Canis lupus familiaris: one gene and its partners. The protein of the gene in region 1 interacts with the protein of each later gene in a pairwise test. Links are inferred from orthologs where the notes say so. Each region holds a gene or a part of one and is shown in the gene's direction. Other genes may lie near its edges.

Region 1 (2,743 bases):
GTGCACACTTGCACATGCATAGCACACAGCACATACATATACACAACACACACATATACACAAAATGCATGCATACATACATCATATATGCTCATGTGCATGCGGTGCACACACTTGTACACACATATATATGTACAGCACGCACATGCACACAACAGACACGCATACATACAATATGTCATATACACACATGTACACACACTTGCACACACACGGGACAAGGGAGGTCGAAGGCCCGTGTGTGTCTGGGACGGGTCATCCACACTGCCCCCCCCAGCCCTCAGTTTCCTCTGAGGGGCTGTGTGCTAGGCGGGGTAAAAGGAGCGGGTTTGGTCAGGTTAGAAGAGTGGAGAGGAGGTGCGGTACCCCCCCACAGGAGGTGGGCACCCCCTTTCAGGCTTCTCCCCATTCCCCTTGCTCCTCACCCCGTCTGCTCCCAGCCACACCCCCGTGCGGGTGCTTTGTAACCGTTGGCTATTTAGACAGATGGCCTGTGGCCTCCCCTGGGTGCAGGTGCCCTCCATAGTTCCCAGGTGCCTGGCCTGGGCAGGAAGCCTTACAGATCCGTCTCATTCCATCTGACCGGGAGCTGCCCCTGTGTTCCTTTTCGTGAACATTCTATGTTCTGGGCAGAGTGCGGACAGAGCTGGAGGTGCTGTTTCCTGAGCACCTACTGTATACAGGCACTATGCCAGGCGGTGGACTCGATGGTGGACAAGTCCTAGTCCAGTTCTCAAGGGACCTGTAACCTGAGAGACACGAGGGAGAAATCAGAAATGATGATGGAGGAATTCTCAGGTGCCACCAAGGAAAGTGGTCCTGTCACGGGTGGGGCTGGGGCTCAGGGACCGCTTCCTGGAGGAGGTGTCACCCAAGAGGGGAGGGTGGATCCATCTGGCTTGGCTATGGGAAGAGCAGGCGTCAGAGCCCAGGAGGGGATGGGGATGGGAGCTGTGCAGCTGGGAAGGGGCGGAGGGAGTGGGGCCACCTCCAGTACCACGGGAGGGGTCACCGGAGATCTGAGTGGAGGGCCAGGTAGATGGGGTGGTGGGCTCCCTGGGCACAGCAGATTTCTGCCCCCCAATGCTGAGCCTGGCCGGCCCCCAGCAGCCAGGCCTAGTGGGGCCCGGGGCTCCTCCTGCCCCATGTGTCTGCCCGTCTCTCCCACAGGTAGACCCCTACCTGCCCTACGAGTACACCTGTGAGGGGATGCTGGAGCGAATCCACGCCTACATCCAGCACCAAGTAGGTGGGCCCTCCGCTCTCTGCCCCAGGGATGGGGGGTGGGGACTACCCCAAACCCCATCAGACCAGAGGAGGGGGTCTAGCCAGCTCCATTGTCTGGGGAAGCTCTCTCCATGCAGGGCTCTGTGCCCCGTAAACTCCTGCTCCTGCTCCTCTCAGTTTCCTTTTCCTGCAGATGCTGGGGGCGGGGGGGAGTTGGGAGATGCAGGGGTATCCTGCTCTTCTCCTGCTCCGAGTCCAGGCCTGGGGGCCCCTGGGGTCACCAGCTCTAGAGCCCAGCCCCCTACCACCACACAGAAGCACGGACCGTTATTTTTATTTTGATAAAGAACTTGCTTGAAAGTTTGATACCTGATTGAGTGGCAGGTACAGAAGGCGTCCACCCCCATCCCACCCCCAGGGAAGAGGACTCTGCTGAGAACCCAGGGGACGGGGCTGCTGGAGAAGCAGGGGATCTGAGCCTCCCGAGGGCTGGCGGTGGCCTTCCAGGCTCCGGGTTTCTGGGGTGGGTGGCCGGGAGTGGCAGGGCCCGGCTGGGCCACGGGACTGGGTGTAAGGTGCTTTATAACTACTTGATACTCAGACGGAGCACATGTGGCCTGTGTCTGGGCTGGAGAGAGGTTCTAGATCATTAGCTTTACGGACAGGAATACTGAGAGCCCGGGACTCTCAGCCCCCTGCCTCCCACAGGGATGTCACCATGAGGCTCACGGAAACATTTGTCGGGCCCTGCAGGCCCCTGGAGCTGACCCCGGCGAGGAGCGCCCCTCTGGTCAGCCCCAGCCCCCCTACCCCCCCAGCCCCACCGCAGGTAGGGCACATGAGCCTCAGGGCGGAAACTCTGAGCCCAGCTGAAGTGTGACCAGCAGTGAGGCGGTGCAGGGGGGTCGGCATCCAGGCTGGCCCCTGCCATCCAGCTGTGAGGCCAGCACAGGGCCCGTGACCTCTCTGAGCCCCATAAAATAGCGGGGGACGTGTTAGGACACTTCTGCTGGGGCTGCCTCCAGGCATAAATGACATAACGTGTGGAAGTCTGCCTGGCGTTCAGGGAGCTCCCCAGGTGGTGTGGCTGCTGTGGTGGCAAGGCCATGCGCCCAAGTGTCAGCCGGTGGCATCTGGGTCCCATTTCCCCGTCTAATGCTGCTTCCCCCCCACCCCCCACTCCCCGCCGGCCAGGACTTCTGTGCAGCCCCCGGCCCTGCCCCAGGAGGGGCCCGAGCCCCACAGAGCCCCTTCGTCCTGGCCCCCAATGCCACCCACCTGGAGTGGGCCCAGAATGCCAGCGTGGCCCCCGGGGCCTGGCCCCCAGCACACTCCCTCCGGGCCTGGCTGGCCACCGCCGGGAGGGCCTGCACCGACGCCTGCCTGGACCATGGGCTGATTTGCGAGCCGTCCTTCTTCCCCTTCCTCAACAGCCAGGACGCCTTCCAGAAGTAAGTGAGCCCCCCGCCCGCCCGCCCACCTCCTGGGCTGACCCAGCCTTGCTCCCCTGCAGCTC
Region 2 (3,277 bases), on another chromosome or scaffold:
CGCACTGTACATTCATATCATTTTTCTTCTCCGGCCCCATGGAGGAAGTGAGAAAGTTGGCACGGTCACCCAGGGCTTCGCAGGACCCGGTCCCTCAGTGACAGATGGACAATGCAAGAATGAGCTCCTTCCTGGAATACCCCATCCTCAGCGGTGGCGACTCAGGGACCTGCTCAGCGCGAGCCTACCCTTCCGACCATGGAATTACAACTTTCCAGTCGTGCGCGGTCAGTGCTAACAGCTGTGGCGGCGACGACCGCTTCCTAGTGGGCAGGGGGGTGCAGATCAGCCCGCCCCACCACCACCACCACCATCACCACCCCCAAGCGGCCACCTACCAGACTCCCGGGAACCTGGGGGTGTCCTACTCCCATTCGAGTTGTGGTCCAAGCTATGGCGCGCAGAACTTCGGCGCGCCTTACAGCCCTTACGCATTAAATCAGGAAGCAGAAGTAAGTGGTGGGTACCCCTCGTGCGCTCCCGCAGCTTACTCTGGAAATCTCTCATCTCCCATGGTCCAGCATCACCACCACCACCAGGGTTATGCCGGGGGCGCGGTGGGCTCGCCTCAGTACATTCACCACTCATATGGACAAGAGCACCAGAGCCTGGCCCTGGCCACGTATAATAACTCCTTGTCCCCTCTCCACGCCAGCCACCAAGAAGCCTGTCGCTCCCCTACATCAGAGACCTCTTCTCCAGCACAGACCTTTGACTGGATGAAAGTCAAAAGAAACCCTCCCAAAACAGGTCAGTCTTGCCATTCTTTGGATGTTCCTTGATGGTTCTGGAAGGAGCTAGTTTGCTTAGTTGCCAAGGAAAATTAATACTCAAGAAAAGTTCTTGCTTCTTCCCACCGGTGTTGTAGGGTGTGGAGAGAGTGCCCAGGTGTATCGGGGCAAAGGAGCATCTGGGAGTGTTGTGTTTCCCAAGAGGCTGAGTTTTAGAGGTTCTGGAGTAGGAAGTGGGTAGGGGTGTGTGTTTGTGTGGTGGTTGGGGGGTGGTTCTGTTAATATCTCCAGGCTCCATTAATCACCAGTCTGACCATGCAAATGGTTGACTTCAGATTAACACTTTACACCTCATCAGTCTCCTTTCCCAGCCCAGTTTCTGTTGAGAAATTCTTGATCTCCCCTTTACCTGAATGTTGCTCTGAAGCATATAGGGGATCTCATATGGACGGTAAAAATTTTTATCTTTCTCTCTCATCGCTCCCCACCATGTCCCCAGGGAAAGTTGGAGAGTACGGCTACGTGGGTCAACCGAATGCAGTGCGTACCAACTTCACCACCAAGCAGCTCACCGAGCTGGAAAAGGAGTTCCACTTCAATAAGTATCTGACCCGCGCCCGCAGGGTGGAGATCGCAGCATCCCTGCAGCTCAACGAGACCCAGGTGAAGATCTGGTTCCAGAACCGCCGGATGAAGCAGAAGAAACGAGAGAAAGAGGGCCTTTTGCCCATCTCCCCTGCCACCCCGCCAGGAAGTGAGGAGAAGGCGGAGGAATCTTCAGAGAAATCCAGCTCCTCGCCCTGCATTCCGTCTCCGGGGTCTTCTACCTCAGACACTCTGACTACCTCCCACTGAGGCCCACCCAGCCCCAGACTCCGCAACCCAGGCTACTCTGAGGGCTGGGGACTTCTTACCCAAAGCACATTCTTAGCTTATCTTCCCTTCCATTTACAGTCTCTCTCTTCCTTTCTGATCCTATCTGGGGAGCTCCTGGCCAGAACAGTGTGTTTCCAGAGAATTCTAGATTAGAGGCTTGATTGAGGTGTGTGTGTGTGCTAACTCCTTGATGCAGATTAGGTGCCATAATCAATTTTTTGACGGCTCCCAACACCCCTCCCTACTTTTGGAAGATTTCCACAGAATCTGTTCCTTTTAGATGTCCTTTGGAATATAGTCTCCTTTGCCAGCAGAAACATGTCAGAGGGAGGCCTATCTTTTACCTATCTGTATATTAACAGTTCTCCCCTACTTTGCCCTTAAAGTAGGATAGAGAGAAAGGAGAGTCCAGGAGCTCATAAAGAAGAGATGCACTATGAGCGTGTTTACACAATTAATTCATCCCTTAATTTAATTCAATTTCATGTGTGTGTTTGCTGGTTGTAAATACTTTGTCCTGAGAGATTTATCTTTATACAGATTTTCTAGAAATGTTTAGATTAAGTGATTAAAACAGGGTGGGTAACTCAAAGCTGGTACAATTTTATATGTGATTATAGGTTAAAGAATAAAATTGCTTACTTAAACTCAGTCAGATGCCTCAGAGGGTAGCCTGCATTTGTTCTTTTGGTGAGTTAGGAAGACCTAAAAAACACAAGGTTCGAAAACCTTGCTTCCTGTGCTAAGTCTCTCCCCATCCCCACCCCATTTATTGTTTCTCTGGCCACACTCTATTTAAAATTTGTGCTGGGTTATTCAGAACCTAAAGGTATTATTCAAGCCAGCTTCTTCCTTCCACAGTTATCTTTGCTGGATATGATGTATTTTCAGCTCACTTGTTAATGTGATGGATGGCACAATGAATGTATATTTTGTGTGATTCGTGAATAGTCTTTTGCATGTCGCACAATGTTTTCATGTCCCTGAAGTACCACACTGAGTTATATCAGTTATTCTTTGTGAGTCTATGATATTCCCCCTTTCCTGTACAATCATGAACAGCTCTGTGATCCTGGAGTAATGTGATCCAGAGCAGAGTTTACGGGTCTTAAGATGTCTGTAATAAATATATTCAAGTTTCACATATGCTTAAGCATCCCTGTATTTGGCTTGGCTGCAATTTGTTGGTTCCAACAAGATTGGCTCATTTCACATGGTTGCTGGGGAAGGGTGGTGTGCACTTTCAGAGGTGGGCCTTTCCTTGAAAAAAAAGTAAATGGCTTTCCATTATGTAGCTGAAACTTCCCCTGTGAGTGTCATGGCACCTAGCGAATGCCTATTTAATAGGTTGACTTTGTTTAAAATAACAATAGTTCCTTTATTATAATCCAAGTTCATAATGGAAAAAAATGGATGGTGAAGAAATTTATAAGGCAGATCTATTTTTGAAAGAAACATGGATACTTCCTGGGTCAAGTGCTAACCTTTTCACCTCCAACTGAATGTTGACGTATGTATAAACAGAACGCCCTTCAAAAGCCCAAACTCTTCAGTCCGTCTTTCCTCACATCAGTGAACCAAGAGCTAAGGGATTCACATTTAATGAGCTCCAGTATAAAGCTGTTTGAGGGCAAGGCCTCCACTTTAACCCTCTTCTTTTTCTGCTTGTC
Region 3 (2,614 bases), on another chromosome or scaffold:
TGTGATTTACATTGAATTTTTAGCTAAAGGGAATTGGAAAGTAGATCAAGCAAGGCAATTAAAATTCCTGTTAAAGTAGTCACTAGAGCCACTAGATATGTTGATATATAAAAATACAGTGGAATGGATGAAGCTAAATACAATGAAGCATTTTTAAACCAATTTTTACAGGAAAATATATTCCCAAATAGCCTTGAAAGCACTAATGCTATATATATGATGATTTCATATATATATATGATGTTATTTCCCATGTAAAGCAGTTTAGAAGCTATTTTTTTTTGGAAATTGACATCAGAACCAATGTAAGAAGCAAAACCAAACCCATTTCCAGGTCCTAATCATCATTTCTTTCTTCTTTTTTTATTCTATCAAGAACATTAGTTTTTGTTAGGAACATGAGTAAGCATGAAATATATAAACCTATACTAACTATTAAAAAAAAATGTCATGCTGTTCAACTTTCTTTGAGGGGTGTTGTTTACTTGCTGTTGTTCACAGTAGTATTTATATTTTCAACTGAAATCATCTTATTTTTCTATAGTAAGAATACTTTAAACATAAACCAAGCTTTTCAGCATGACTCTGTTTATTGAAATGCATAAAATGAGTATCGCTTTTTAAAATAAAAATATTTTGGTAGGAAGCCATTTCCACCAGGATTCTAAAAATAAAGCAAAGCATAAATTTAGGCACATTGACATTTTCTGTGTTATACCGCTTTTAAACTTTTTCTGCCCCAAATCATTTAGGTTATAGATCTTCCACATCTTTAGGTTATAGATTTTCCACATCCTTTTACAAAATACTTGTATTCAAGTTTCTTACTATTGGCGATTTCCAAAAAGAATAGAATTTCCCCTCAAAGAGAAAGAATTTGCCACTGTTTCAAAGAATTTTGCTACGCCTTTTTTTTTTTTTTTCTCCCGGAGAGTTTTGCTACAACTTTTAAAGGGAATTCCAAGACAGGAATTCTAAGAACGTTTACATAGTGGTGGTTATACTTGGATTACATGAATGACCTTCAGACATACCTGTTTTGATTGGATATTTTAAGGAGAGATCCTATTAAAATTCAGTCACACTTCTTTATAGATATACTTAATCCATAGAAGGAACATCCAGGTTTATGGGAGGTGGGAGCTCCCCTTTCAGGGCTATAATAGAGAGTGCTGATGCAGCTTCCTACAACAAGGAGGAAGAGAGTCTGCGTTCCCAATCACCACCTTCCAGGGATATATAAGGGATCAAGTTAAATGAGGGGGGACACTCACTTCTTTCCATTCAACGAGAGCCTGCTTTTGAAACCTCACTATGTCTTGCCACAACTGCTCTGCCAACTACAGCTTGGGATCTCTCAGAAATCCCTGCCATATTCCTCTCACCTCCTCCGTGGCCCTCTGCTCTACCCATGTGAGCTGTGGTGATGTCGTCTGCTTGCCTACTAACTGTCAAGACCATCCCCAGCCTCTGGACAACTGCCAGGAGACCTGCAGTGAATCAACCAGCTGTCAGCCAGGCCACTGTGAGCCCAACAACTGTGAAACATCTTGCTACCCTTCTACTACTTACTACGTGTCCAGACCCTGCCAAGGAACCACTTTTCTTCCTGCTGTTTCCTACGTCTCTGGCTCCTGCCTCCCCGTATCCTTTAGACCTCTGACCTGTGTGTCCAACAGTGGCCGACCCCTGAGCCTCTTCACTTATGGATGCCGCCCCTTGGGTTCTTTGCCCTGTGGTCCTCAAACACTGAGCATTGTACCCAGCAGCCTCAGACCTCTGCGTCCTGTCTTCAGTGGATCCCAACCTCTGAACCATGTGTACAGCACTTGCCGTCCATCTTGCTCTGCTCTGGGAGGGCAGTGGCTTCCTTGTTCCAGTTAATAATCATGCTAAGGATCTGGGACAAAAAATTCAAACTGTGGACTTTTGCTTCTTTCCTAGTAGTGCCCTTTCTTGCTTTTTACTCTGCCTGACGTAATTTGTGCTCCTCCTTTCATATTTTTATCTTTTCTTTTTATCGCTCTTTGGCATAAAATTATTTGATTTACAATGCTGTTCATTGTCACTCAGGTGTGGGAAGAATTTATTTGGTTCATGTTGCAATAAATGAGATTAAGTCAGAATTAAGAATCTGGTTCTTCAGTTTGTCTTTCATTATTTCATTTGAACACAGAAATGACCAACCTCAACTGTGCGCATGAATAAGACATGGGATATGCAACCATATGTTCTTGTCTGACAGTAGGGGAATGGCTTAGTGGTTTATTCCTCAAACTTCTTTCTAGATCTCTGATCCTACATACTTAAGACACCCCAAAAGCCCTTGGTGGAAGTAACTTTAAGAAGGCAAGATTAGGAACATTTTCCTTTTCTCTCCCATCCAATAAACATACTTCCACCAAAATGTCCTTTCTCATTGCAAACTGAATTCTGTTCCCCTGCTACGAAAGCCTTTGATGGGTTCCTATGCTCTTATTCCTATAAAATTGCAAACCCCTGACCATGACATTGTTTTCCCTCATTGTGTTCCTCCATGCCATCTCTCTGGCTTCATCCCTTTCTCAATGTTGCCAAACTAAACTTCTGCAATTCTGACTTATGCGTAGGTCCT

What was found.
Region 2: the proteins of MGAT5B (region 1) and HOXA1 interact in a two-hybrid assay, tested with the Homo sapiens proteins (2 studies listed by BioGRID). The two-hybrid records come from large-scale screens. The link is inferred for Canis lupus familiaris from reciprocal best matches to the Homo sapiens genes MGAT5B and HOXA1.
Region 3: the proteins of MGAT5B (region 1) and KRTAP26-1 interact in a two-hybrid assay, tested with the Homo sapiens proteins (3 studies listed by BioGRID and IntAct). The two-hybrid records come from large-scale screens. The link is inferred for Canis lupus familiaris from reciprocal best matches to the Homo sapiens genes MGAT5B and KRTAP26-1.

What each region holds. Positions count from the first base shown.
Region 1 is NC_049230.1:4,786,449-4,789,191, reverse strand, and holds part of MGAT5B (alpha-1,6-mannosylglycoprotein 6-beta-N-acetylglucosaminyltransferase B), read left to right. Parts: intron 1-1,170; coding exon 1,171-1,245; intron 1,246-2,421; coding exon 2,422-2,678; intron 2,679-2,743. UniProt on the Homo sapiens protein: Glycosyltransferase that acts on alpha-linked mannose of N-glycans and O-mannosyl glycans.
Region 2 is NC_049235.1:40,363,037-40,366,313, reverse strand, and holds the end of HOXA1 (homeobox protein Hox-A1), read left to right. Parts: exon of another isoform or gene 1-48; 5' UTR 49-104; coding exon 105-750; intron 751-1,230; coding exon 1,231-1,586; 3' UTR 1,587-2,753; downstream 2,754-3,277. UniProt on the Homo sapiens protein: Sequence-specific transcription factor. Regulates multiple developmental processes including brainstem, inner and outer ear, abducens nerve and cardiovascular development and morphogenesis as well as cognition and behavior.
Region 3 is NC_049252.1:25,723,017-25,725,630, reverse strand, and holds KRTAP26-1 (keratin-associated protein 26-1), read left to right. Parts: upstream 1-1,288; 5' UTR 1,289-1,314; coding exon 1,315-1,884; 3' UTR 1,885-2,098; downstream 2,099-2,614. UniProt on the Homo sapiens protein: In the hair cortex, hair keratin intermediate filaments are embedded in an interfilamentous matrix, consisting of hair keratin-associated proteins (KRTAP), which are essential for the formation of a rigid and resistant hair shaft through their extensive disulfide bond cross-linking with abundant cysteine residues of hair keratins.